Linked DNA regions of Daphnia pulex. The protein of the gene in region 1 purifies or fractionates together with the protein of each later gene. This does not show direct contact. Links are inferred from orthologs where the notes say so. Each region holds a gene or a part of one and is shown in the gene's direction. Other genes may lie near its edges. The genes, in order: cullin-3-A-like, ring canal kelch homolog and BTB/POZ domain-containing protein KCTD5-like.

Region 1 (10,118 bases):
ATGGGTCGTTGTAGAGGTTCCGAGCGCCAACAGGAATACATGATCGCGCTGACAAACTCGGGTGCGTTTGTGGGTTTTTTGAGTCGCCTCCCCATCAACAAAATTCGTACCAAGAAATCTTTGTTCGCCTTGGCGTACACGGTATATGGTGTTTCCCCCAAGGTGAACAGTTCCCACAGAACCACACCAAAGGACCACACGTCAGACTGGTGGCTGAATAGCCCATCTTTCAGCGATTCAATCGCCATCCATTTAATTGGTAACAATTCCTGGTTAAGTAATATGACAATTTTGAATTAAGAATATACTGAAAATAGCAGTGCTACATACTTCGTTATTTCGTGATTCGATGCCGGAATGAGTTTGTAGTGACATGCCGAAATCCGACACTTTAACAATGTTATTAGCGGTAAGAAGGATATTACGTAACGCTAAATCTCTATGTAAAACCTACGTTTTCAACAATCATTTACTGTTTGACATATTAACGACTTAAGTGTAATACCTTTTTGACAACAAGATATGCCATAGCGCGAGAAATTTGATATGCCCAGTAAATGAGATTGCGAGTGCTGAAAGTGCGGTTCTCGGTATTATTTTGACCGTGAAAATGATTCCGAGGAATCAGATTCCTGGATTCGTTCAATTCGCTGAAAAATCTGTGACGGAAAGTTATCAGATGTGCACGCAAATTACTGAACGGGCAATACTCGAAGACGATCAACAAAGGTTCTGCGAAATCAAATCAGGAATGATTTTATTATTTTCAAAAGTTGTTATTTTGTCAATAATTATATGCTTCACCTTTATTCGTGTATTTTGTGCAGGCGCCTAGAAGATGGACGATGTTGAGGTGACGTCCAAGTTGGGACAAAATTTTGAATTCCTCTAGCAGACCGTGTTTAGCTTTGAAGTCGTCATTTGAATGAACAGTTTTTACCGCCACTGTAGTCACGGGTTCATTGGGTACGATCCCTTTTGCTTCTGCTTTCAGGATGCGTCCGAAGCAACCGACATCCAATTGAGATTCTGTTGAATTATTCATTAAAATTAGTTATAATACTCCAATTAAAAAAATTAAAGCAAAACGACGAAAATTAAGTATACAATTTCACTTACGTAATTTCAAACGACATCGAGGGAATTCCCAGCGAGGGTCTTCAGCCGTTTCTTTTTCTCGCGATTCTAATTTAATCTTTAATTCATTAAATGTTATTAATTTTCCCGTAAAATGTTTGATTTAATTTGAATAAGAAAAAATTCTTTATTGCACCTTGATCAGAACTATCGCCAAGCTAAACAGAGTAATAAATCCAAGAAATGCAATTGTTGAAGAAAGAATAAACGACGTCGAAAATTGAAAATTGCCCGTTTCCGATTCTGTTGCGGGAGGTCGTTCTAAAAATAAAAGTAGATTGCTCAGATAGGTTGGGAAGGATTTGATACAATATACAAAATAGGTTCGTTTATACCGTCGTCTGGACAGGGGATGATTTTAAATCGTACACCCCATTGAATTTCTGACACGTTAAATGATCGTTTTTCCGCCCGACATTCATAGATACCCTCAACATTCGCTATTTGAGCTGGGTCCAATAAACGGAATCCCTGAAGCGCATCATGTGTCGAAATTCGGTCATTCTTATCTTTGGCATCCTGCTTTTCCTTAGGCGGGCAGACGATCCTCGTCTGAGTGCCGAAAAACATGCAACAGGTTACACATTTCACGAACAACAACACGATGTTTTTGTTCCACTTAAACTTTCGATTAGCTGTTTAGGACGAAAGTGCCGCTGAATATCAGATGATGTTTGAAGATGAACTTACCGTGTTCAAGTCCGTCGTGTTTTTCAGGAAAATCTTTTGGAGTAACTGAATCCTGACGACCGGATGTGTCGGCTTGCACGGAATTACGGATTCAACCCCATCAATTTGGTAAACAGGTTTCATGGTTGGAAACAAATGATACGGATCTAACAAAATAAGTGTCTCTGCTTACTTCTGAGTCAATCAAGGATATAATACATTTTAAGTATAGTAAAGGAATATTTTATACCTTCAACTAAAATGTAAATGTAATGATTTGACGTCTTTGTTCGGCAACTATACGACCCCGTGTTTAAATAGCTTCCTTTTTGTACTGCCAAGTTGACATTGAAGATACCATTAATTTTTTTAATGCTAACCAAAAAACGACCGTTGTGGGATTTATTCTGTTTGTAATGATCAAGCTAGACAATAACGCAGGTTCTTTTTTGAAAGAGTCTTAGTGTTATTTTTTTTTACCTTGATTTCCAGATTGAAATTTATCGGACAAGTGAAGCTGGTATCGTGACTTATACAATTGATTGTGAATGGTTTTTCACTGATTCTATGATCTTCTAAATTGTTAGGCAACGATGGTTTCGGCGGTGGCGCGGCTACTCCAAATGACAAGCATACTGAGTGTTTCAAAAATTCGGTATAGTAGACGATAAATGTAATGAAAAGTTATTTAAAATTGAATGATATTCACTGGTAATTATTATAGTAATAAGCCTTTGATTCTGTTAGAGCACGGAAGATTCGGAACACGAAAGATTATTGACTTACTTGAGGTGATGAGAATCAGCGCAGACTTTTTCGCTAAATTTGAATTTTGATAGAAATAAGCACGACGTTGAAAACTCATTTTGTTTGACGCATTAATTATTCACTTTACTTACAGCTTAGCCTATATTGAACAAGACCGCTAATCTTCAATATTGGTCCATTAATGTCCATAAATCAACTGTGTCACTATCCTATACCATCTCGAGACCCAACCGGCAAGCGCCCGTTTTCAATCTATCAAACATATTATCAACGACACCAATTTTTTGGCACACGAGCAGCTGACCGGTTATTGGCTAATGAGAAAAGCGCAACTTAAAAACCTTTAAATTGATGGACAGGGCGACAAGGACGATTTATAGAAACTAACACCATTATTTTCTCTGTTTATTTAGCCACACAAAACTTTCTACATACATTAAAAGCTGACTTTTATGCGTTATTTACTATTGCGTGAAATTTAATTATGGATGCAAACCAAAATTATAGATGTCACTACTTACCACGCGCCGCCGTTACGACGTTCCACTGGTCGTCCGGTATTTTATTGACACAATGACTAGCAAGTTAGTGCGAGTTACGACAACGAGAGCCTAATCAGCGTGTGGCAGTCATACATTCAATCAGTGGGATTATGGTCTTATAACGAAGCGAATCATCTTTTAATAAAAGAAACTCTTTTCTTTCAGCTAAAAAAAATGGCTGATCGAAGTCGTGCGCCAATTATTGGCTTGGGAGTTCTACTCATTGCATTTGCAATGAAAGATTTTTTTCTCCCGGCTGATGTGCAGCCAGAAGAAAATTCGGTGCAATCTAAAGAAATTCCAAGCTTGCATTTTAATCGATTCGCTGGGCCTTCAATAAAGTTCACCTTTTGGTAAAAATAATGTGAATTTTTCTGTTATTCATGTTCATAAATTAATAATCAACTTTAACAGTTCTTCCTGAGGTTACCGCAAGGTATTTGAGCAGTATGCTGTAATTCTGCAACAGAAATACCCATCTTTGGCAATCGAAGGAGAGAACCATCCTCCACCCTATTTAAACCAAAAGATTGCATCTATTTTGGTATGTCTGTTTTAAACATACAGTTAACAAACTCCCTTCTTTATCATGATATAATTGCTTGTTTCAGGGAATTTTGAAAATACTGCTCATCCTTGTAGTGGTGTCGGGAACCAATATTTTTGAGCATTTAGGTGTGCAAACTCCCTCAGTTTGGGAGTGGACTCAGCAGAACAAATTTTATGCGTGCTTGATGACTTTCTTTCTATGCAATGCTGTTGAGGGCCAATTAATTTCAACTGGAGCATTTGAAATCACATTAAATGGTGAGATTTCATTGAATTCATTACTTCCCTATTAACTTACCTACTTATCATTATTTTTGTTACAGATGTTCCACTTTGGTCTAAAATGGAAACTGGTAGAGTTCCTCAACCCCCTGAACTTTTTCAGATGATTGATAACCATCTGAATATGGCTAGCCCCCAACTAAGCTTGGATTCATAATGTGTGCTGTGTGGTGTGGTGTTAATTGTTACATCTTGTTTGAGTCTTTAGCCTTTGTAGATATGATGATTCCTTTAAAAAGTAGTGGAAACTACTGGAAGCGATCGGATGTTTACCTACACAAGTGCTTTGTATAAGAACATGAATGACAATCTAACACTTTTTCCCCCATCCTCCATTCTTCATTCCATTTTAGTAAATAAAAACCTCTAGTCTATGGATATTCTTGGTTTTAAAACAACAGTAAACTGGCTAAAGTTAAACAAAGCTCCTGATTATAGCTTTCCTTATATAATAGTTTATTCAGAATATAAATAAGTCTTTGGACGTTGTCGTGGTGGCTAAGCATAAATCCTTCTTAATTTATTTGCGATATTGGGTTTCAATGAAACGAAGCTGAGAGAATTTGAATCCGAGATTACAACGAATTATGTAAGTCCTTCCTAAGTCCTTTCTTTTTTAATAAGAGATAAGAGCTAAGATTTCCCTAAGAATACGACAATGCGCACGGCGCTGTGGCAGGCACAGATATGCATAAATACATTTATATTAGTAAAATTAGCAAGGAGCATGCTACTGTCTGACTCAAAGCGCATAATTCATTACGAGTTCTCCAGTGAATGTGACTTTTTACTTTTAGTGCCTTTTTTTTAAATATTCAACACAATTTTCTGCCAACCCTTAACCCTAGCTATTATTATGAGCATTTTTTGAACGGAAATGAAACAAACGAATAATTTTTTTATCAATGATATTTAATAAAGTCTTTTTCTTGCGAGTGGCCAATGTCGATGCGTATTTTAAAAAGAATAAAAAATGCGTGGAGGTGATTTCCATTTTTCATTGTCCTTCAGATGGATGTGTTTCAATTTAGCCGCTAGATGGCAAAATACAACGTTGAGTTTTCTGAGGAAGAGAAGGAAAGAGAGGTTAGCCTTTAGGTTGCCCTGTTTTTTTTGCTTACAAGGGGGGCCAACTAGTTTGATGGAAACGTTTTAAAGGTTTCGGAACTATCAATATTTGGCCGATACTTGTATTTTTTTCGTTTCGTTATTTAAATTTGAGTGAGTTTCACGATGATGAAAGGTGGTCTCGGCGGCGGTTCAAAGAAAGAAGGAAAAATGCGAATTCGTGCATTCCCTGTAAAGTTTATTATAACACTTCATTCTGGCATTAGAATATCTTTGTTATTGTTTTCTTGTTTTTCTCAATAAAGATGACGATGGACGAGAGGTATGTGGAAAATATTTGGAGTTTACTGAAGAATGCCATTCAAGAAATTCAGAAGAAGAATAACTCTGGTCTTAGTTTTGAAGAACTTTACCGAAATGCATACACAATGGTTCTACACAAACATGGAGAGAGATTGTACAATGGCCTTAGAGAAGTTGTTACTCATCATTTAGAATCTAAAGTAATATCTTTCTTGCTCAAAAAATTTTCAATTTTACTAAAGATTTTGCCTGATCACTTTCACATAGGTTCGTCAAGATGTGCTTTCTTCCTTGAACAACAATTTCCTTCACATTCTAAATCAAGCATGGAGTGATCATCAAACATCTATGGTTATGATTCGTGACATCCTCATGTACATGGACAGAGTTTATGTTCAACAAAATAATGTTGATAATGTTTACAATCTTGGATTGATTATTTTTCGTGATCAAGTAAGTGCCTAATTCAATAGTTTATTGTTGGATTTGATTTTAATTGAACTTTCTATAAGGTTGTTCGTTATGGAGGCATTCGTGACCACCTAAGGCATATTCTTTTGGAAATGGTTGTCAGAGAGCGTAAAGGAGAAGTTGCAGATAAGCTTTCTGTTAGAGCAGCTTGTCAAATGCTCATGGTGCTGGGTATAGACAGTCGAGCTGTCTATGAAGAGGATTTTGAAAGACCTTTTCTTTCTCAATCTGCAGAATTCTACAGGGTACAAAAACTTGGTTGTTAATTTTTCTACAATTTATTTAATTATTTTTTTACTTTGCTTTCACAGTCTGAGAGTCAGCGGTTTTTAGGGGAGAATTCAGCTTCAGTTTACATAAAGAAAGTCGAGGCGCGCATTAATGAAGAATCGGAAAGAGCCAAACATTATTTGGATGAGTCGACCGAGCAGCGTATTGTTGCAGTAGTTGAAGAGGAACTTATACAGAAACACATGAAAACGATTGTTGAGGTGTGTAAAACTTAGATTAGTGTGTTTTAAAAAATGCTATACAGAAAAATAATTCTTGTTTTCACACTAGATGGAAAATTCTGGTGTAGTACACATGTTAAAATGCCAGAAAACTGACGACTTACACTGTATGTACAAGTTGTTGGGTCGTGTAGCGGATGGTTTGCGAACCATGGCTAGTTGTGTCAGCGCGCATTTACGAGAAGAAGGCAAAGCACTGGTTAATGTCGACGAATCCGGTGCCAATGCATTGAATTTTGTCCAGGTATTTTTATTAAAATTTACCTTTTTTTCTCTCTGTAATAATGATTTCTTTCATTTTGATTTCTAATGACACTATAGAGTCTATTAGATCTTAAGGATCGCTATGATACATTTCTGGGAAAATCCTTCGTAAACGATCCAATCTTTAAGAAAATGATCTCTTCAGATTTTGAATATTTTCTTAATTTGAATTTGAAATCTCCCGAATATCTATCACTCTTTATCGATGACAAGCTCAAGAAGGGCGTTAAAGGAATGACAGAGCAGGACATAGAACTGGTGCTCGACAAAACCATGGTTTTGTTCCGTTTTCTCCAGGAAAAGGATATTTTCGAGCGTTATTATAAACAACATTTGGCCAAGCGCCTGCTGCTGAACAAATCTGTTAGCGATGATAGCGAGAAGAACATGATTTCTAAGCTGAAGGTAATTTATTCATTTCCAATTTATTGAGCTCGTACTAACATTTTAATTACTTTGTTAGACTGAATGTGGGTGTCAATTTACCTCGAAATTAGAGGGCATGTTCAAGGATATGTCTATCTCCAACATGCTCATGGAAGACTTCAAAAATCACATTCAAACTTCTGGGGTAAGAAATATCCAGTAAAAAAATGCAATTATAAAACGGCCTTCCAACCATCGATTATTGATTAGACCTCCCTTTACGGAGTGGACTTGAGTGTTCGCGTACTAACAACTGGATTCTGGCCAACACAATCGTCAGCTACTTGTACACTACCATTGGCACCACGCAACGCTTTTGAGGTCTTTCGCCGATTTTATTTAGCAAAGCACAGTGGGCGACAGTTGACGCTACAACCCGCTCTAGGGTCGGCTGATCTGAGCGCAATCTTTTATGGACCTAGACGAGAGGAGTCTGAGACAAAAGAAAAAACGTAAGAACATTTATATGTTGTCTCTATATACTGAGCATATCTTATCGAATGTTTCGATTGATTCCATGAAGTGATGGCCCCAGCTCGTCAACACCCTCGTCATCAGCTAATGGACCGCGAAAACACATAATCTCCGTTTCAACCTATCAGATGTGTATTCTTATGCTGTTTAACACCCGAGATAGGCTAACTTACGAAGTAAGAGCACGTAGAACTTAATGATTTCTTATTCATCATATTTGATGCTGTTTATAGGATATCATGAATGAAACTGACGTTCCGAAAAAAGATCTGGATCGTGCATTGCAATCGCTTGCGATGGGCAAACCGACTCAACGCGTTCTTGTCAAAAGTCCCAAGGGTAAAGACATCCTCCCGAGTTCTATCTTTGCCGTCAACGATAGTTTCACGTCAAAACTCCACAGGTTTGTTTTACAATTGATCTAGAAAATTTATTATTTGACGACCAACAATATTGAATTGCAGAGTGAAGATCCAGACAGTCGCAGCCAAGGGAGAATCAGAGCCTGAAAGAAAAGAGACGCGTTCCAAGGTCGACGAAGACCGAAAACACGAAATTGAAGCAGCCATTGTACGCATTATGAAAGCAAGAAAATCTATGCAGGTAAACTACACCGTAAAATTTGAAATGGGATGGGTCGCTGACTTTTATTGTTATTAGCACAACTTGTTGGTAAGCGAAGTTACTGAACAATTGAAAAGCCGGTTTCTGCCTTCGCCAGTTATTATTAAGAAACGAATTGAAGGCTTAATTGAACGTGAATACTTGGCTCGCACTCCTGAGGACAGGTGCTATAAGAAACATTTTATTTTATCAAAAAGACTTGAGCTAAAAAAATTTTTTACATATTTTTATAGGAAAGTGTATACATATGTGGCCTAGTTTAATTCGAGTTTGCTTCCTTAAAATTAAACTGGTTTTCCCAATTGCCTAACTGAATTTTCGATAAGACATTGGTTTGCTGCGCGATGATTTTTGTAAATAAAGTTTTTCGCTATTGGAAAAACATGTCTTGTACTCTTGTCCTCAAGTTAAGTTTCAATAAGAACTATGAACCAACTCTTAAATTGGATGAATGAATACAACATAACTTAACGTTTGACTTCAGTATTTTTCTTTCAACGAATGTAATGTATCAGATGCGAATGAAATTTAACAAAATATTTTGGTCTGCTCCGACGTGTATTGGTAGGAGGTACAAGATGACAACATGTTTAATCATCACCCTTAATTTCAACTTTGCCACCACGAATACGACCAGTTCGCCTGGCAGCGATAAGACCAACTTTGCGACCAGCAGGAGTACTCCTCTTGACGGTGGAAGCTTTACCAATGTGTTGATGGTTACCACCTCCGTGGGGATGCTCAACGGGGTTCATGGCTACACCTCTGACAATTGGCCAGCAGTTACGCTTAGCCTTGTACTTATGGTAGGCACGTCCAGCCTTCAAGATGGGCTTGTCGATACGTCCACCACCAGCAACAATACCTACCGAGAAAACAGAAAGTGATTAAGAATTGGTCTTGAAAAGATCAAGACTAATAATATTTTGATCTGCTCAGTAACAGCCTCTAGTTAAAGATCATTATTCTCATAGATGGATGAATTGCATTTCATCATAGCCCAAGTATTTATAACGCGTTTTTCGAATTCAACTTACCAACCATGGCACGGTTGCTGGAAGAAACGACTTTCTTAGCTCCAGAAGGCAGCTTGACACGGGTCTTTTTCGTGTCAGTGTTGTGTCCAATAACGGTGGCGTAGTTACCAGATGTACGGGCAAGGGTACCTCGGTCACCGTGTTGCTCCTCAACGTTGCAGACAATAGTACCTTCAGGCATGGTGCCAACAGGTAAAACATTGCCAATCTGGAGGGTAGCTGTATTAAGATAAAAAACAAATTTACTCTTTTCCTTTCAGACAAACACTAAAAATAAAAGTATTTAATTTTCTCAGAAACAACCTCTAGATGAATGATTATCATAGACCCTCAGCATTGGATATTAAGTTTACATCACTGTGTTCCCATATTTTAAAAACCAAGGTGTTATGCATACCTTTCTTGCCGCAGTAGATGAATTGACCAGTGTACATGCCCTCAACAGCCAAGAAGTTCTCTTTCCTGGTCTTGTACCTGTAGGGGTCACGGAAGTGGACCACAGCTAGGGGAGCTCCACGACCAGGATCATGGATGATATCCTAATTTAGAAAATGTTTTTCGTTAACCACTTGTCAGAACTGACAGTAAAAGTTTCAAGTTAAATAGAGTTCTCAGAAACAACCTCTAGATGAATGAATATCATAGCCCCTCAGCATTGGATTATATGTTTACATCACTGCTTTCCCCCCACATTGTCAAACTCATTTCTGATCCAAGAAACATACCTTGACGACTCCCTTGATGTATCCATGACGTTCAGCGAAATCTTCAGGGCGAAACTTGGGTGCTCCCTTACGATGCTTCGTATGGGACTTGAAAATACCTCCGGCACCTTTACGTTGGGCACGAATAACACGACCCATCTTGGTTTTATATGTTGAAGGTTACAAGCGGCGAAGTAAATTCAGCCTGTCAAATTAAAAAAGACAACCTATATTATTTCAATGCGATCAACGAGTTGAGAGCAAGACGAATCTTTTAGAATTCTTTCT
Region 2 (10,147 bases), on another chromosome or scaffold:
TATAAGGTGCTGCTGCAATCGTCATTTCCCTTGTATACACTCGGGTTTTTATCGGTCGTTTAAAAACCGCCGTTGGTGGTCCTCGGGAAAAAAAAACAACCAAAAAATGACGCGAGTAAATAAATAAAACTGAATTTTTGCTTCTTTCATAGTCATTGAAATAATAAAAGAGTCGACAGCCCCGAATAAAGAGCTTAGATATATACCCCCTCCACACACACATGGGTGTATATATATAGCTCCTACACGTCACAGCGAGATTGAAGCGAAATAATGCAACTGTGTGTGTTTGGAAGGAGGAATAGTTGGTAGTAGTAGTAGTTGTGTCTTGATATGTCTGTAAAAGAGTTTCGGGTTAGAGTGTATAGAGAGTCGCGGTTGTTGTTGTTGCTATGGCCCCCGGAAACACGTAGCAAAGATTTCCAGTGCTGCTGCTGCTACGTAGTAGTACATGCCAACCCTCGAAATGTTTCACAGACGGAAATGCTTTACACGTTTCTCTTACTTCACCCCCCTCTCACTCACTCACTTTTTTTTACTCCAGCCCAGGACGGGAGGGGGTTGGTTGCGTGTGAATACAAACCTGTTCCCTGGGCAAAAAGAGAGGGGGGGGGGGGGGGAGAAAAGAAAGTTGAAGCAACTTCTTTTTTTGTGGGTGCTATACGCGAATACCGTCGCAAACAGGAAATAAAAAAAAACAGTTAAAACGTATAGGAGAAAAAGAAAAAAGACTTAAAAACTTTTTGTTTGTTTGCAGCCGCTTCTGGTATACAATAAGGAGCTGGCTGCTCTATGATATCAGGATGCTACTCCTGACTCCTGGAACTTATTTCCTTCTTTCTCTCGTTGTCAAGGAAGAACAGAGGGGGAGAAAAAAGAAACCGGAAAGCTTCACAGTTTCTTTTTTTTTCTTCTCTTTTACGAGGGAAAATAAAAAACTTCTTTCGCCGACTGCTGGCAGAATGGTGATCTAACTGCAACGTTGACATACCCAAGAGGTAGTACCGGGTGTGATGCATTGCGGCTTCCTTCCTCTCTCTCTCTCTTGTCAGTGCGAAAAGAATGACAAAACATCCATCATGATATCCAGTATAGAAAAGCATCCAAATACTTTCATCTTTTTTTTTATTTCTTCTACAAGAATTGTCGTTGGTATATCAACCTGCAGCATCCAGTATTTTTCACTATAAAATAAATTCCTTTTTTCTATTTGTTTTGTTTTTGGGAGAGACATTTTCACTCTGGAACGAAACAAAAAGGGACGGATGGTTACGCACGATTCTGGACGGATATGTACGTGTTGTTTTTTAAGTAACATCACACTCTTTGAAAAAGAAAAAATGCTGAATTGTCAAATGGTGTGCAAAAAGGTATAACTAACTACCAGATCAGCCGCTTAAAGGCACTGTGTGCTGAGAAAATGTTTACGATGGGAAATAATTCACATAAAGAAAGGGAAATATGAGACCTTGTGAGGCTACCATGCAAAGTATCTCATGAATATGGAGAGGCACAACGGCAGGATCATTGCAGAAAGGGTTGTGGAGATATGACTGCTGCCGTTGCAACCATCTTGAGCGCAGTAGCATTCCTCCCAGTAGACACCATTCTCCTTCACTCCCCAATTACACACACCTGTCACACCTGTGTCGGCCACAGATGCACAGCGACGGATGACCTGTCTCCAGCGTCCATCCCCTGAGATAGACAAAAAATTATGTTTAAAATTCTTCAGCATTAAATTGGGTGGTTGATCTTGGTCTTACAGACAAAGCTTCGGGGACCCTGCTGCGTGATTTTTACACAGAACGTTCCTGGTGTAACAGATTCATCGCTGTTGCAGTCTACAGGTATACTTTTTCTGGTGTCAAACAATTTGTAGGCCCCGCAATTGTCTTGCCCTTTGGCATCTTGGCTGGAAGAACACTGGTGACATTTGATGGAAAAACCTGTGGAGAAATAAAAACGACATTGTGTGCTCAATTCAGGTAAACAACATGGAGTGTCGATTTCATACCTGATTGGACGAATAAGGTGATGACGAACAACTGAATCAACACAATTTGGGCAGCCATTGAAAAATTCAAGTGAGATTCACTTGCAGATTTTAAAAAGGTATATTTGATATTATTTAAATAATTTGCATTTATAAAAAGGTGATCAAAAAAACGCCACCGCCCAAAACAATTCTGTTGAGGAACTTTCAAGATACACGGTTGCCACGTTCATCTAGAGTCGATGAAAATTGAATTTATTTAAAAAAAAAACATTTAAAAAAAATATAATTTTAGCTTTAAAAAAAGATAAAGAAAGAAATCTCTTTTACACGATTTTATTTTTCATAATACGATCACAGTGAAATTCAATACATCAATGAATCGAGGTGCGTGTCAGTCTGTCAGATATAAAACAGGGAAATATTTCGTTTCCTTGTGTGGAAAGGCCAATAAAGCAAAGAAAATAATAAATCAGCGACTTAAAAACAATCGTTTATTTTCTACATGTGTGTAGTCGTTTTCATTTCACTGATAAAAAGGCACTTTATGGACGGCGTAAAAATTCAGGCGGTTGGACGGCTTGAATGGAATGAATAAAATGGCTTGAGATTCATATTACTATGATGTGGAGATAAATCAGATAGATTACACACATTACAACCTGTTGAGGTGGTATAGGGCTAAAACTGAGGAAACAGAACCTAACATCATGAGATTCAAAGGTAGCATTGAGCTGGCGGCATTACATCCATCCTTGCTGTTGCAGGTACAGCTTTCAATGTGAATGTTGAATGTCCCTGATCTTTGAAGGCAGTAACGTTCATCTCCACCGATACCAGGCTCTCCAAGCCTGGCACAAGAGCGAATGTATCTCCACTCTCCATTCACCTTCTGACGGATTTTTCTGCACATGGTGGCCTTCACACCTGGTAGGTGAGTTACTTCAGGGAAGGTGGCACAGTCGAAAAAGGGTGTGGATGTGTTGTCAAACGGATCAGCACATTTGGGATCTTCCAAGGATCTGCATACCCAGCATTTGATACCAGTACCTAAAAGAAATAAAAGAAAACAGGTTAGCTTCAAAATTCTTCGTTTAAGATCGTAAGCATTTTTGTATTTTTAAGACGCTGGAAAACGTCAAAACAAGCACACGTTCAAATCGCTCTACAGTGGTTTCGGTGACATTTTATAAACACGGCAAAATCAAAATTTCAATTGCTTGATTTTTTAAATAGTAAACAAATGATATACCTTCTCTGATAGCAAATAAATAAAATATAACAATGCTGGCGAACACGCCCAAGGATCGAATCGGTGCCATTTCTTAAATTTTTATTCAAGACAGGTGAGACAGCGTTGCGATGTCAAGTCACGTCAAGTAATGGCTTCATATATTAACCGCCAGGTGGCACTACTTTCCGACAGCCATTTCAAAAATATGAGAAACCGTTCAAGTGCAAAAAAATATTCTTTTACGTCATCTTCCAATTATTTTTGAATTGCTTTCAATAACATATTGCTTTATCGATTTTCTAAACAGAAAATGAAAAATGTTGCGTAAGCAAATCAAACCTGCTCCGAAGGCCGAAGCCTGTGCTGTGTGCTGGGAGAAGCGGAAGCCATAAAGAACGGCCTTGAAATTAGTGTCGACTGCTTTAGCGCACAACGGAAAACCAAACCAGCAAAACAAACCAAAACAAGTCGTTGATTGAGCCAAATTGTGTGCGCGACGCTTGATATTGATCAAGAAAAGTGACGAAATTGTGTCATCTAGTCTTGAATATTACCTCCATATTGTGTGTTGTCTTTAAACCTAGCTGATGTTGGTCGTCTAATTTGATCTGCCCGCTATGTCGACTAGTTCTAATAGTTCGTCTTCTAGGGATTTTACAGATCATCTAAATGTCCAGTATGTTTTACAACTTTTCATTTGTAAGGCTTAAAATATGGTTTCTTATTATTAATCATGTTCCCGTCTTTTTTTAGCAAGCTTCTCCTACGCCATGCCAGTCAAAACTCTCTCGATGAAAGCTCTCAGAAAGAATCTGCCCAGTCTTCTCCTGAGAGGCCATCTTATCGCAATTCAGATCACTTTTCAAAATCATTTGCGAAATTCAACATGATGAGAAAGTATGCTCTTCTTCCCTTCTCAATGCTCAAACATGAAGTAACACTTCCTTTCTTTATTGTTTATGAACAGAGACAAATTTCTTTGTGATGTTGTCCTTATAACCACAAATCAAGAAGAATTCCCTGCTCATAGAGCAGTTTTAGCTTCTTGCAGTCCTTACTTTCATGCAATGTTTAGTTGCTTTGAAGAAAGTAATCAGAACAGAATTGTTCTCCAAGATGTGGATCCCAAGGCCCTTGGACTCCTGCTAGAATATGTTTATTCTTCTGAAATTCAAGTCAATGAAGATAATGTTCAGGTTAAAAAAAATTAATTGTTTTAGCTTTACAATAAAAAAGCAACTCCAATAAGTTATTTGTGCAGATCTTGCTGCCGGCCGCGAATCTTTTGCAAATGTTTGATGTCAAAGAAGCTTGTAGTGAATTTCTTGTCACTCAATTGCATCCCTCCAACTGTCTTGGAATCCGAGCGTTCGCTGATCTCCATGGCTGCATAGATCTATTGAATTTAGCTGACAAATATACTTCCCAACACTTTAGGTACTACTGCAAATAATTTTCCCAATTATTAGAAACTTGACATTTAATTCAAAATTTGGTGATTGGTTGCAGTGACGTAGTAGACGGAGAAGAATTCACCAGTCTAAACTGCCAAGATGTGATACGTATTATTAGTAGTGACAAGTTGACAGTACCTTCGGAAGAAAAGGTTTAAAATTTCATTGAAAGTGTGCTGTTGTTTTGTCCTAAAATTATTTTTATTCTTAAGGTATACGAAGCTGTCATGAACTGGGTGAATGCCGACATCGCTAGTAGAAATTCAGAATTACCTGCCCTTATGGAATATGTTCGTCTTCCCCTCCTCTCCCAAGACTACCTTTTGCAACATGTCGAGACCAACACTTTGATGCGATCCAATGCTCATTGTAAGCATCCGTGAATAAGTTGAAAATTTTAAGACAACTTTATTAAAATAACTATTTCATAGGCAAAGATTTGTTGATTGAAGCTCTTAAGTATCATCTGCTCAAAGCTGATCAAAAGCGGATTTATCAAACTTCTAGAACTCGTCCAAGATTACCAATCGGCTTGCCGAAAGTATTTTGATTTAATTTTACTTTTATCAAACCTCGGCGAATTTTAATTTTGAATACTTTTTAGCTTCTTCTCGTCGTTGGTGGCCAAAGTCCGAAAGCAATTCGCGGAGTTGAGTGCTACGATTTCGAAACCGAGAAATGGAATCAATTGGCGGAAATGCCCACTAGACGTTGCAGGTAAATATCTTCAACTTCTACGAACAAAACAAATGTTGATTGCGTTCTCTTTTCTTACATCAGAGCGGGTTTGGCATCTGTTTGTGGACGCATTTATGCAATTGGTGGATTCAACGGATCCCTACGAGTGCGCACAGTTGATCTCTATGAGCCAAATTTGGATCAGTGGTTTCCAGCTCCTGACATGGAGACGCGCAGATCTACCTTGGGTGTCGCCGTTTTGAATAATTTCATCTATGCTGTAAGCTTCAAGAAAAATCAACTTTTGTGCGGATTCCTTTGATCGTGGTTCGTTGTTACCCCAGGTCGGAGGATTTGATGGATCGACTGGCCTGATGTCTGCTGAGAAATTCGACCCGGCAACGCAAGAATGGCGTGCAATAGCTTCCATGAATACAAGGCGCAGCAGCGTTGGCGTCGGTGTTTTGAATGGTCTCTTGTATGCGGTAAATATGCAGAACAAAAACCCGTGTAGATAAGAGTTGACTAAGTCTAGCATTTGGTTTTAAGGTTGGTGGATACGATGGGGCTTCGAGGCATTGCCTGTCATCGGTTGAATGCTACAACACTGAAACCGATTCTTGGAACTTAGTTGGGGAAATGGTACAGTATTAAAACGCATATTCCGTTCGGATGGAGACGTTTTAATAATGGATTATGTAATTATGGTCAGGCCTGCCGACGTAGCGGAGCTGGTGTGGGGGTATTGAACGGCTTTCTCTATGCCATTGGTGGTCACGATGGACCCATGGTTCGACGTTCAGTTGAAAAATTCGATTCTGCAACGAAATCGTGGACATCTGCAGCGGATATGTCGCTGTGTCGGAGAAATGCGGGTAAGATTCATACTCATAATCATTTCTAAGCATTTCAATTATTGTGTGTTTCATTTCCTTTAATAGGTGTGGTGACTCACGATGGTCTAATCTACGTCGTTGGAGGTGATGATGGAACGACAAATTTAAACTCGGTCGAAGTTTACGACCCCACAGCCAATACTTGGTCAATGTTACCTGCATGTATGGGTATCGGACGCAGTTATGCTGGAATAGCCATCATTAACCGGCCTTCATGAATGTTCAAGAAAAAGAGCTCTTGTCCTAAATTTTTCATTATGTTCATTTTTAATTCGCCAATCATGTTGGGACAGCAGTGCGGCTGCCTTTTCTATCGCTGCTTTTAGATCCATACGATGTTCGAATGGTAATCTCGTAATTTTTTTATTATTTATGTTGCCAAAAATCCTAGGGTTTGGGGTTGTCTTGCAAAACAAACACTACCTACTTTCGATGTGAAACAATCGAATAAAAAAAACATCGCGTACATTAACGAATTATTTTTGTGTTCCTTGTATCCAACCGTACGAAAAATAGTTTTTGAATACATCGTGGTTATTCAAGTTTCGTGTTTTTATATCAAAACTCTTCTTTTAATATACCTAGGATTTATTAGTTATCCTTATTTTATGTTTAAGTTGAGAATTGAGAATAACGAAAACAAAAAACCATCTAAATTCTAAACCTCGTTTTTTCTTATTTTTTAAAATCAGTCATAGATGTCGCTATAAAGCCCGCATTTTCCCAAGCAATCAAGTTCATGTCCAATAGATGGCGTTAAGAGACATCCGGCCTTTTTAGCCATTGGGCTGTACGAATGAACGTAGACAAATGGCGGCTGTGTAGGTCAGTGGAGAGTCTGTCGTCGTTGCAATACACCCAAAAGGCTATCATAAGTCCCCATTTTTGGATCAAAGAAAAGTCTCGTTAATTTAAGAAGCTCGCCGGCGATCAAAAACGGCCGTTTGGCTCATGTATTCGACAATTGCCTACTTTGTTGAAGATGCAGAATGTGGTACAGAATTCTGCTTCTGAAAGTGTAGGGAACTGCGTGAAACAGCACGAGGTCGGGCATCGTGCATTGGCCAACCCAGCAGCAGCTACAGCCCCTGCGACGTCCGCTGCCAGTGCAAAGCCGAGCAAGCCTAGCAAAGGCAATTCCGTCCCGAAGAGCAATCACATCGCGGGCAGAAGCAACAACCACCCAACATCAACTCATCATCATCATCAACCTCCACCACCCAATCTGAATCACAAGACTGTTACTGTGACAGACCTAGCCAACTCTTGTTCAACAGCCCTAGCTACTGAGATAGCTATCCAACAAGTCAAGCAGAGTCGGTCATACCAACAGCAATTTATGCCTGACTCTTCTGACAGTGACAGTGACGACGTCCTTTCGGTAAGTAGCTTCCTGAAAGGCATAGGATTACTTTTTTTCTCTCAGCTCACCAATCTAGGAAACAACTCCCCAGTTCCAGTGGAATCTTATCAATCAAAATGTCCCCCTGGTTTAGTTCCATCCTGTGTTGGTCAGCCCTACATCAACATATCGGCATCAGTACAAATGCTTATTGTGTTTGCGATGCTTAGATTTAGTTAAATCATCCTTTCTTTTGAGCTTTAAATAGGACTCCCCCTCTGAAAGCTTGCAAAGTTATTCTTCCTGACTTACTTCACTGCTGCTCTACTTCCTTGAGAGAGCCATGATTCAAAAGTTTTTTGCTTATTTAGAGCATCATTTAATTTGGCTGTTTTCATCAGACTGTCAAGGAACAGTCGTCGTTTGACACCAGAGGATTTTATCGTATCTACAGCTTGTTTATGCCGTGTCATCTTTCGGCGTTTGGCGTGGGGTTTGGTCAGGGTTCAAGCGGTCTTCGTTCTCATTGATGATGGCAAATCAGATGGATGGACTTGGGGGACAACTAGAGGTTGAAAGAGAAAGAGGGAGGGGGGCCTTTTTGAAGGGATTTGGCCAAAAAGAATGTGTAGAGGGAAAAAAAGGGAGGCAAAAGATTATGTAGGGGGAATACGGTGGGGGAGCGTCGAAGCCCTTTCTTTGGGATTCCGGTGGGCCGTTGCCCCCTTGATTTGCAAAATGTTTTTGTACTGGTGTAGTACCTTCTTTTCCAAAATGTGAAGCTTATGTTAGTTGGCCCCCTTGGTAAAGTGGCGGAATAGTTCCGCCTTCAAACTATGGAAAACATGTCAAGTAGAAGGGAAAGTAAATCACCAAATTGAAATGCGGAGCACTGTCCCAGTTTTGTCCAAATCGTTCCAGCTAGACCCGACTCGGCTGTCATTCCAAAGTTTTTATTTTTTTATTTTTTAAAGTTACTTGTCCCGACTTTAGTTGCAACACGACCAGCACCTGTTGTCAAGTCTGAAAGGAACGAAGGACCCTGCCGTTATTTAAAGCAATCTTTGGTGTGTCTGGGGTACCCATTTTGGCTCTGCTTTTGGAATAACCGAAATCCGCCCGATGGCGATTGAAATAACTAGAAACCCAGGGGTTCGCTTGCCAAATGTAAAGAAGGGAATCGAATAATATTACCACCTCCATCATCCGTTTTCTGTCGTTAAGTTTTCGTCAGTGCGACTGTCGTTCCTTCGTTGTTTGTGTCATTGTGAAAATGGGAATTGACCTGTAGGTGGAATCTTTTTTTGTGGAGGAGTCGGAAGTGGAGGGCTGTGCGGACGACTGCCGATGCCCCTCGTCTTCGGCCTCGTCGCTGGACGCGCCGCGATTCCTTCTAGCCGCCGCTGCTGCCGCTCAACACGACGGACACAGCATTGGCGAACTACCCCGCATCGATCCAGACACTCAGGCCAGGATTGAAGCTCTCCTCGAGGCTGCAGGTAAAAACTTTAAAAGAAATTCAGAAATTTCAATAAATATTCCTAATCTTTTCGTGTATTATCTTTACAAAATTACCAGGAATTGGAAAACTGACTGGAGGAGACAGCAAACGGCTCGGCGATCAAGAAGTTCTCAGTCGGTTAACATCCAGTGTATCGTGTGCACTGGACGAGGCCGCCGCTGCACTAACCCGCATGCGATCCGAAAACTCTAGCAATTTCCATCAAGAAGCCCGGTAAGCAAGAACTTCTTTTATTGGCCGTCTATCTCCTGTGAAAGGTCACACATGACGATAGCTAGATTTCAGCCAGTGAATCGTTGTTGGCGAACTTTACCCATCCAAGTCTAAACATTTATTCACTGAGGTTGACTGATAAAAGTGTGAACCCTTCACAATTTTATCACTCAGAGAAGGATGCAGTTGAAATGAGCTGATTAATCGGGTTGAAGTCATTGAATTTGTATCCCTTATTTCTTGGCTATCAGTGGGGGTCATGTTCTATTAGAACTAATCCATAATATTGTTAAATTTGATGCAATGAGAATGGTTCTTTATCATCCATTTGTCTTGTTTATTACAGGTCGTTAGTGGAAGCCTGCACTGACGGCGACGTCTCAGCCGTACGGCGTTTGCTAGACGAAGGACGTAGTGTACACGAAACCACGGAGGAAGGCGAGTCATTGCTTTCGCTGGCCTGTTCGGCCGGCTACTACGAATTGGCGCAGGTGTTGCTTGCCATGCGGGCCAACGTAGAAGATCGTGGCGTCAAGGGCGACTGTACGCCACTGATGGAGGCGGCGTCGGCTGGTAACGCGGATATTGTCCGCCTGCTGTTGGAACACGGCGCCGAAGTCAACGCCCAGTCGTCATCGGGCAACACGCCGTTAATGTACGCCTGCGCTGGTGGCCACGAAGAGGTAGTTACCCTCCTACTGGAAGCCAACGCTAACGTGGAGGACCATAATGAGAATGGCCATACCCCGCTGATGGAAGCTGCCTCCGCCGGTCACGTTGGCGTGGCCAAGATCCTTTTGAACCACGGCGCC
Region 3 (9,245 bases), on another chromosome or scaffold:
TCTCCTATTTTTTCATTCTCTACCAATTTCAGTCAGCCGAGAGAAGCGATACGTCAGTAAATGCAGGAATATGATTTATTTAAAAAAAAAATACAGTTACCCAGTCTGCTTACGTAGCTTTGTGTATTCACTGTCAGAAAACCATCTTCTTTTGGAATTTTGTGTTCCCGTTAATTCCCCGCATACTCACAAATATGTGAAATTGGGCAACGCAGGCGCGTTGCTCAGCTTGTTTATTTACCTTATATTTGGGGCGTCCCTAAACTGCGAAAGCGAAACGCGAAACGCGAAACGCCTAAAATGCGGAAAAGCTGTGCGAAACGGACCAAAATTTTGGGACCGTTTCGCGGGACCAAATGCCGGAGGGCATACTAAAGAGCGAAACATCTTGCGAAACAAAAAGTTTTCCTTTTCTCCACAGAGGTCCAAATTGACGGAGATTGCCGCCATTTTTCATTGTCTCCCGCTATGATGAGGCATTAAAGGAGGAAGGGGGGCAATCAAATTCGATTTCTTCGCCACTACCCCTGTATGTTTTAATGCACATTTTACGATTATTAAACTAATGAAAGACATAGAGCAGCACGTTATGGTGATATTTTTAAATAATAAAATATTAGGTAATGCATACATTACATTAAATGATTTAAATCAACCAGTAGGTACGTGCACAAAGAAATAATCGATCATAACAGTATGAGTGCCTTATATCAAGCTAAAAATCAAAGCTACCATGTTCCAAATCAAGCTAAAATTTAATCAACTAAATAAACTTCCCTTAAAATTAAGAATGATAATCTGATTGATACTGATACATGGAAACGAGAAGTTCCATTAATTTTTTTATACCAATCTTCTAATTAAAAACACCTATTGCATATTGCATTCAAGGTATTCCGTATTCATGGTCAACACACAAATAGACAGCCATAAGGTGCGCGAAACTCGAAGTCTCGAAAATTTGAAACTCTTAACAATTTGTTTGTTGACGCCTTGACGGCGTCCATTGTCGTCTGCTACCAAGACGTTTACACTGCGACGTTTCGCAAACACCGATTTCGCAGTTTAGTACGGACCCAAAGACTAAAATGCGAAACAAGGTCTCAACTTTTGGGTCCGTTTCGCACAGCTGTTTCGCATTTTAGGCGTTTCGCGTTTCGCGTTTCGCTTTCGCAGTTTAGGGACGCCCTTATATTTGTATGATCCAATCAGTCATACTCAAATCATTTTGATTTGACAGTGTTCAATAAATTATCATTTTAAAACACTATTTTAGTATGGAGATACAATTCACAGGAAAGACAGCTTTGGTTACTGGTGCAGGGCAAGGTAGGCAATTGGTCGTAGCACCCATTATGGCTATAAAAGTCTTAATCGCCTTTTCAACCCCACTACTATTTATTAAGGAATTGGAAGAGCCATTGCAAAACGATTGTTTGAACATGGAGCTAAAGTTTATGCGTTATCGAAGACGTCTGAAAATTTAAGAAAATTACAAGAGGAAGCTCCTGGAATCCTTACCATTATTGTAGACCTTGAAGACTGGGAGGCAACTCAAAAAGCTGTCAAAGATCTGGGTCACATTGATTTGTTGGTCAATAATGCTGGAGTTGCAATCTTGGAGTCCTTTTTGGATATCAAGAGTGAAAGTTTTGATAAGTATGCAGTACACAAACCTGTTACGTAATGTAGAATACCTATCTAACTATCATTGTATTTAAAGGGTCTTCAATGTCAATCTTAAAGCTGTTGTCAATGTTTCTCAAACAGTAGTAAAGCAAATGATTGCTGATAAAACAGGCGGATCAATTGTAAATGTGTCATCACAGGTATTTGTGAATCCAAATGGATGCATGCTGCCTTATTAAATCTCCACGGAAATCAAATTAAAAATTTTAATTTTTGTAGGCTTCCCAGGCAGCTTTAAGAGATCATGCTATTTACTGTAGCACTAAGTCTGCTCTTGACATGCTATCAAAAGTAATGGCTCTTGAGTTAGGGCAACATAAAGTAAGGATACATTTATTCATTTTTTATTTGGAAATTTATTCATGTAGATTTCTGCAACAGATTCGAGTAAACTGTGTGAATCCGACAGTTGTGCTTACGGAAATGGGAAAAATGGTAAGATGAAGAGAAATCATATAGATATTTGATGACCAATTGAATGAATTTAAAACATCTGATTTTAGGGTTGGTCAGATCCCTTAAAGTCAGGTCCTATGCTTGCTGGAATCCCCTTGGGTAGATTTGCAGGTATATTCCATTATGCGATACTGAATTTAGTATAACTCTTTACTACTTCTGCTTACCTTATTTTATTATGCAGAGGTCGAAGAAATAGTGGATGCAGTTGTATTTCTTCTTAGCGATAGAGCTTCCATGATTCACGGAACGACTCTTCCGGTTGATGGGGGATTTTTGGCGTGTTGAAACTTGAAACGAAGATTGAACATGCGTTTCAACTTTTTTTCAAATCTGGGGTAATGTAATGTTAATAAAAGACTATCAAATTTTTGCAATTTAAATAATAATAATAATACATTCCGTTGATTATTGTTTTTTCCGGAAGACTTTTTAATCGCGGTTAAAAGTTTAAACTGAAAACCAGACCGCAGACTAAGAGCTATCACTGTGGCAGAACTGCAAAATAACAAAATCTAGTGAGTAAACGTCCCATAAGTAAAAGAACCAACGATGGTTATGTCAGAGCTCTGGTTTTGTCGGTTTTATTTGATTTTTCCGTTTTTGAAACGAGAAATGTTGGAAAACGTTTTCGTGGCAACGTTGGACTGACGACTATTTATAAACAGTTCGAGAATCAGTGTTTTGCTAAGTTTCTGTCTTGTTTGTTTAAGTTTATTGACAACTTACTGACTCTAATGAAATGATCGTCAATCAGCAGGAAAATACTGTGGATGCCTGTGCATACAATTTACGTGACGGAGGTACTAGCGTCGATATTACTTCTCTTCTTCAAGGTACGAAACGTGAACGCTTTTTTGTTCGTTCGTTCATAACGCCTTATAAGGCAAACTCTTGTGTGTCTGTCATACCGAACATAGCAATGTACATTTGTTTATATTACGAATTTCAAGTAATATTGAAAAATTTCATGGCAGTCGCGAGAATTCTAGCCGGATACTGAACCCCTTTAGACGCTAGGGAATTCAGATGACAAAAACATCTCTAATGTTTTTTACTTTTTACATTTGTCAACCTTTATGCAGATTTTGGTGGTATTCAGTTTACATGAGCCTTGTTTTTAAATACTCTATTTTGTTTGCATTCAGTTGATCTGATTGCCAAAGGAATATTCCAGAATGTGGATTGTCTGGGTCTACTCAACGCACGTTCCGTCTCTACCGCATGGCAAGAGGCAGTCGACAATGCAAGAGTTTGGAAAATTGTTCTTGATAAAGACGTAAAATTTTACTTGCTCCAAATCATATAGGTTTTCCTTCAATTCTAATTAAGGTTTCACTAGGTAAATTGGAAGAAAATGTACAAAGTCTTGATTAAGAAAGGTTTCGCAACCGAGACGACAGAGGATGACAACTATTCAGAATTTTACCTTGATCTCTATCGAAATATCCGGGATAATTTGAAGGTTTGGACATTGGATAACCCGTAAATAAGTATCAATTTTAACACCAATTTTTAATTCAATTAGTCTCTGGAGAAAAACTGGATAACAAAGACGGCCTATCAACGGGTAAAAAAATTGCCTTATGCAGGATTTGTAGAGCATCTAAATTTCAAAGTAAAACTGAGCGACCAGTACATCGTAACACGTCAAAGTCCCCAGACGATCGAGATCTTTAATAGATGGACTTTGCAGTCGGAAAGTGTAATAACTGAAACTTCATTTGTAAATTCCATACATTTAGAGCTGAATATTGATTGAATATTAGATTTTCGATATTGGAGTCGATAGTCACAGAGCTATGATGAAATCTATCGATTTGACTAGCGAATATCTTGCTCTTGGATGCAATCGTGGAAAAATCTTCGTATTTTGTATGAAAACAAAAGAATTGGTAAGAGGACTTTTAATTTTGATCATTTCCACAATAATAAGAACAGTGGTGAATGCGGAAGCTTCACAAACTTATAGACGATCCAGCCTTATTAAACTGTGAAAGCTTCGCTCAGGACGTCATGGCAAGCAGGGTGGATTGCAGTTACTTGCGGTTTAGTCCATCAGGAAAAACGCTGTTGTCGTGTATTACCAACGTAACTTAACATAATTCTAATTTACTGTTGTGAGTGAATCATTAATGTATTTCAATTTACACTTATAGAACAGTTGTCAGTACGAAACCCTCTCGTTGCGGAAGATAATATCGCCCCGAGAGTGGAAAATAACGCACCAACAGACTATTCACCAGTTTAATGTGCGCCGAGTTCAAATGGATGACTCCTATATTTACCTACAAGGTGGCAATAATAAAGGGATTCAAGTTCGATCAGCAAGTTCGCTTGAACTGATTAATACCATCGCCGAATCCGAAGCTTTTATTAAAAGTTTTCAACCCTACGATCGGTGGATTATTATTGCTGGCCGTGAACAAATCAGGTAAGATTCGCGCAAAAGCGTAATTGCTACCTGTTATTCATACGCTACTCTCTTACTCTCTTTTCCTTTAGTTTATGGGACATCGAACTTGGAACATGCATTCGACAATGCCAAATGAATCAAACCGATGGAGATATCAAAACCATTGGGTAATGTTTTGTTGTTTCTTTCTAACGAATCAACACTAAAATTATCATTTTTTTTTTACAGGCTGGTAGGCGAAAAATACATAATTAGTTGCCACGTGAATTGTTGGTCTTCCGACTTTTTCCTGTTAGGGGTGAACGTTTGGGATCTTGAGTCGTTAATCAATTCTCAAAAAGAAACATTGAAGCCAACTTTTACGTTTAGCGTATCGACTCAATCTTGGCACGAAGCAAGCGTTGATGGTATTCGGGACACGTCGGTGGAAAAGCTAAAAGTTTTTGTCGATGATTATCAGATTGGATGCCTTGTTACATGGGATTTTGACTATGAGAGGCGTGAAGTGCCAGTACCAATGTTGTATTTCATGGACTTTACTAATCATTTTGAAACCTAAGCTTCAAATCGAATATTTTGCTATTCTATTTTTAAAATGTATTATCTTTAAATTTTGTTTAAATGTTTTGTTTCAAATTCAATTAAAAAAATTAAAAAAAGAAAATTATTCATTCATTCATTTCAACCCAATTGAAGGAGACTCCTCTAGATGGCACCACGGCTGCTTCGATAATCGATTATCTTTATCGATTCAAAGTTGTATATTTTCGCATTTTTGTGCGTCGAATTTTTATTTAGTGAAACCAAATGTTAATGAACGATTTGAATCTGTGAAACTCGCTATTTTAGTCCTATACTGGTAGGTGATTCTTTTGTGCAAATCGTGACTGAGAGTGTAAGAATAGAATTGTTGATGACTTTTAGTCACAATCCATATGCTGGTTAGCAGTCGATAACAACGGTTCTTTATTGTTTGAAAAAAGTTGTTTGAACGCGACTAATTGATTTTTTAAAATGTATTTTAGAGATGGCTGAATGTCCGGAGATGAACGGGATTGCAAATAACATCGTTTCAGAAAAGTGGGTTGGCAGCAGAAAGTCTGAATGGATACGTTTGAATGTGGGGGGTCACCACTTCCTTACCACCCGAACAACCCTTTGCAGAGATCCAAAGTCTTTTTTCTTCAGACTCTGTCAAGAAGACAACAATCTTGCCTCAGATAAAGTATTACTTTATATAACCTCAATTTTAACTTGAAAATTATGCTCTTTATTTTAAACTAGGATGAAACAGGTGCCTTCATGATTGATCGGGACCCTACTTATTTTTCACCAATATTAAACTTCTTGAGACATAGCAAACTAGTTATTGATAAAAACTTGGCTGAAGAAGGAATCCTAGAGGAAGCTGAATTCTATAATATTACTGAACTCATCCAGTTAATTAGAGATAAAATAAGACTAAGAGATGAGGTACCACAGAAGGAAAGTAGGAAGCAAGTTTACCGTGTATTACAGTGTCATGAGGATGAATTAACTCAAATGGTTTCAACTATGTCTGATGGATGGAAATTTGAGCAGGTGTGTACACACAAGACAATCTTATTAGTTACTACAGACTATTTATTCTAATCTTTTTTTTATATAGCTAATAAATGTTGGGTCACAGTACTCTTATGGGAATGAAGACCATTCAGAATTCCTGTGTGTTGTATCAAGAGAGTGTGACAAGAGAGAAAGAGAAACAGAGCCTACTGATAGAGCCAAAGTAAGTATCTGCAATTTACTATTGATGGAAGCATTTAAAAATGTTGTTTCTTTATTTAGGTGCTTCAGCAGAAAGGGTTAAGAATGTAATAAGCTATGGGATTTTTGTACCAGGAACCAAATACTGAACTAAATTTATGCAGAGAACCAGCCTTGTGGGATTTTATCCACGTTGCAGCCATTTTGACACTTCTTGTTCACAAGTGTTGCTTTTTATTCACAAGTGCAATACAACTCTGCTTCACAGCTTCATTAAATTTTAGGAGATCCAAATTTGTATTATAAAAAAATGTTCATGATGCTGCTACTTGACGAAGAGGAGAATCAAGATAGTCTGCCAATGCCTTTGCTTTAGCATGAAGCATTCCAAAACACACATTTTCTTTAGCATAGAGACATAGAAGTAAATTAGCAACTTGGGCAATCACCACTTTCCCATCCTTTAAAGGCATTGGCAAAATTAATATTTGTGTTTACTAAACTTTAAATTGAATAATACCATGCAATCAAGAAGAACACATTCCAGGACATCTTCATTGAAGGCAACTTTCCCATTTTTAGCATATGCTGACCAAATGTTGCTAGCTATCGCTGCTGTCACTCGTGCATCCTTGTCCCCATAACCACTTGAAAGCCACAAAATTGTTTAAACACTATAAACAAATGTAAAACATTTTAACACATTTTGCTCACCTGTAAGCTAGCAACGCCCCCTCCGTATTTAAAAGCCTGCATAACAAATTAAGATAATAAATAAATAAAAATAACTAACAATCGTTAACTATTTTAAGGTATCACGCCATATTACAAAGTGCTTAAGATTCCGCCAGTGTTTGCTTGAGACAAGACTTGAGTAAGAGCTTTTGGTTTTAACATTCTTTAGATTTGTTGGTATCTTCTGTTTTGACACAAGCTGAGTCAGGGCTGAGTACAGCTGTTCAGTGTTCACTACTCCTCTTAGTCTCTTACTAAAAAAAAAAAAAACAAATGAATGCGGATGTTTCCTACATAACCAGGCCAGGCTGACAATCTCTTCTTCAGGCAGCGGCAGCGGCAGCGCCCCTTCCGTTGACCAGGGAATTTTTTCTCACTCAATCTTGTCAAATTCTTCTGCTGTAGGTGGCCTTAATGTATTCATTTCAGATTGGTCCAAAGGTGAATTTCGCGCCCGATTATTTTGACTTTGGTGTTTAATTACAATCATGATTACAATGAACTAAAGTTGCTTCTTGAAGTCAGAAATCATGCCGCCTCAAAAACCTTTGACTCATTTTTTTAAACCTCTTCAAAGTGGAGGTGTGAAGCGTACATTCTCAGAACTTGTGTCTGGCAATAAGACAGCTGAAGCCAAGAATGTTCAAATTGAAAACAAAGTAGGTTTTTTTGTTCTGTGTATACATGCCTGGTATTTTTTGTAAAGTCTATTCATTTTTAGCCTGTTGGAGAAAAATCTGGTGAGAAGACTGAAGTAGTTACTCCTGAAAAAAAAGAAAGAATGGGCACTAACCACTTGTTAGCGAAAATAAAATTGCAAGCGAAGAATACTTGTGCCTTACACCATAGTATTGGTCATTCATGGTTTCAAGCAATTGAGCCAGAGTTTAAGAAACCCTACTTTGGTGAAGTATGTACATGTTTCTTTTTTTTTAACTTTGAATAACAATTATTTTCATTTACCTACATTATTTTGTTTTTAGCTTAGTAAATTTCTGGGTTCTGAAAGATCAAAGTCCACCATTTTCCCTCCAGAACATCTTGTGTGGTCTTGGACCCATTTCTGTGATATTCAAAATATCAAAGTTGTTATTATTGGTCAAGATCCATATCACGGTCCTGGTCAAGCTCATGGTATAGTAAAAAATAATTACTTTTATGGCTTTTAAGATAAAGAATTGACATTACATTTTTGTTTCATAAAAAGGTTTGTGTTTCAGTGTTTTGAAAGGAGTTCCTCCTCCCCCAAGGTAATATTTAAAATTTTTACTTTAAAAACTACTGTGTCTAATTTTTGCAAAACTATTTGAAGTTTGGTAAACATCTTTAAAGAGCTGGCTTCAGATATTGATGGTTTTAATATTCCTAAACATGGTAATCTCACTGGATGGGCCAAACAAGGTAGACATTTAAACAAAATCAATCACAGTTTAACGTTTGTCTTAATCTTCAAATAAGAGTCACGTAAAATTGTTATATTGATATTTCACATATTTAGGTGTGCTCCTTCTTAACGCTGGCTTAACGGTCCGATCGGGCGCAGCAAATTCGCACAAAGACAAAGGCTGGGAAACTCTGACGGATGCCGTGATCCAGTGGATTAGCAGTAACTGCCAAGGTGTTGTCTTCCTTCTTTGGGGTGCATATGCCCAGAAGAAAGCTTTAGTAGTAGACAAGGTAACCAATTCATTTGTTTACGACTTCATGCTTAATTAATGTTTTTTTTTCTTTTCTTTTTTTGTAGAAAAAACACCACTTGCTGAATGCCCCTCATCCTTCTCCACTATCTGCTCATCGCGGATTCTTAGGATGTAAACATTTTTCAAAATGTAATGAACTTTTGCTCAAGCAAAACAAAACACCAGTTGACTGGTCTAAACTCCCCATTGAGTGAACAGTCAAACCTCAGGTTATAACAGTTTTTACATTCACTCTTGCCTCAAATGTTTTCAACCATGATATTCATGTTTCAAAACGCGATTCACAATGCATCTTAAACCAAGAGCAATACTAATTTTACATTTAAAAAAAAAACAATTTGTTAATTGCTGATGGATCTTCAGTAATTTTCTATTGCCAACAACAATTATGGATATGCTGATACTAGAAAGTTTTGCTGGCATTTTTTAGTCGCAGCGCAATGCATTTATGTATTTAAGAAAAACTTGTATTCTTTGAAGAATGAACCTTGAAAATAAGAATT

Evidence for each region.
Region 2: the proteins of cullin-3-A-like (region 1) and ring canal kelch homolog purify together in Drosophila melanogaster (affinity purification with western blotting; 3 studies listed by BioGRID). This does not show direct contact. The link is inferred for Daphnia pulex from reciprocal best matches to the Drosophila melanogaster genes Cul3 and kel.
Region 3: the proteins of cullin-3-A-like (region 1) and BTB/POZ domain-containing protein KCTD5-like purify together in Drosophila melanogaster (affinity purification with western blotting; 4 studies listed by BioGRID, with this or other methods). This does not show direct contact. The link is inferred for Daphnia pulex from reciprocal best matches to the Drosophila melanogaster genes Cul3 and inc.

What each region holds. Positions count from the first base shown.
Region 1 is NC_060026.1:11,979,528-11,989,645, reverse strand, and holds cullin-3-A-like, read left to right. Parts: upstream 1-5,002; 5' UTR 5,003-5,180; coding exon 5,181-5,246; intron 5,247-5,320; coding exon 5,321-5,518; intron 5,519-5,585; coding exon 5,586-5,771; intron 5,772-5,830; coding exon 5,831-6,034; intron 6,035-6,100; coding exon 6,101-6,280; intron 6,281-6,350; coding exon 6,351-6,545; intron 6,546-6,622; coding exon 6,623-6,970; intron 6,971-7,028; coding exon 7,029-7,136; intron 7,137-7,201; coding exon 7,202-7,443; intron 7,444-7,514; coding exon 7,515-7,641; intron 7,642-7,698; coding exon 7,699-7,868; intron 7,869-7,929; coding exon 7,930-8,068; intron 8,069-8,125; coding exon 8,126-8,253; intron 8,254-8,322; coding exon 8,323-8,347; 3' UTR 8,348-8,567; downstream 8,568-10,118. Other genes in the region: fibroblast growth factor receptor 4-like, read right to left, coding at 1-269, 331-450, 506-732, 805-1,029, 1,120-1,195, 1,274-1,398, 1,473-1,689, 1,828-1,973 and 3 more; 60S ribosomal protein L8, read right to left, coding at 8,680-8,954, 9,127-9,345, 9,524-9,665, 9,852-9,989.
Region 2 is NC_060028.1:8,914,001-8,924,147, reverse strand, and holds ring canal kelch homolog, read left to right. Parts: upstream 1-3,565; 5' UTR 3,566-3,847; coding exon 3,848-3,906; intron 3,907-3,983; coding exon 3,984-4,127; intron 4,128-4,197; coding exon 4,198-4,426; intron 4,427-4,491; coding exon 4,492-4,667; intron 4,668-4,739; coding exon 4,740-4,836; intron 4,837-4,896; coding exon 4,897-5,053; intron 5,054-5,115; coding exon 5,116-5,225; intron 5,226-5,288; coding exon 5,289-5,401; intron 5,402-5,464; coding exon 5,465-5,642; intron 5,643-5,706; coding exon 5,707-5,847; intron 5,848-5,911; coding exon 5,912-6,004; intron 6,005-6,074; coding exon 6,075-6,237; intron 6,238-6,303; coding exon 6,304-6,476; 3' UTR 6,477-6,801; downstream 6,802-10,147. Other genes in the region: uncharacterized protein LOC124209561, read right to left, coding at 1,478-1,698, 1,767-1,949, 2,018-2,075; uncharacterized protein LOC124209560, read right to left, coding at 2,652-3,046, 3,249-3,318; ankyrin repeat domain-containing protein 17-like, read left to right, coding at 7,241-7,639, 8,892-9,099, 9,179-9,335, 9,682-10,147. UniProt on the Drosophila melanogaster protein: Component of ring canals that regulates the flow of cytoplasm between cells. May be involved in the regulation of cytoplasm flow from nurse cells to the oocyte during oogenesis. Binds actin.
Region 3 is NC_060023.1:11,049,861-11,059,105, reverse strand, and holds BTB/POZ domain-containing protein KCTD5-like, read left to right. Parts: upstream 1-5,271; 5' UTR 5,272-5,420; exon of another isoform or gene 5,421-5,522; intron 5,523-5,586; 5' UTR 5,587-5,588; coding exon 5,589-5,786; intron 5,787-5,845; coding exon 5,846-6,142; intron 6,143-6,209; coding exon 6,210-6,329; intron 6,330-6,388; coding exon 6,389-6,418; 3' UTR 6,419-6,585; downstream 6,586-9,245. Other genes in the region: uncharacterized protein LOC124197753, read left to right, coding at 1-74; L-xylulose reductase-like, read left to right, coding at 1,278-1,329, 1,407-1,659, 1,724-1,829, 1,909-2,010, 2,071-2,124, 2,193-2,256, 2,330-2,433; beta-TrCP-like, read left to right, coding at 3,503-3,610, 3,674-3,850, 3,915-4,040, 4,102-4,236, 4,305-4,579, 4,651-4,728, 4,790-5,120; ragulator complex protein LAMTOR2-like, read right to left, coding at 6,622-6,768, 6,828-6,954, 7,022-7,057, 7,137-7,204; uracil-DNA glycosylase-like, read left to right, coding at 7,573-7,701, 7,764-7,952, 8,026-8,176, 8,250-8,292, 8,355-8,443, 8,541-8,719, 8,787-8,936.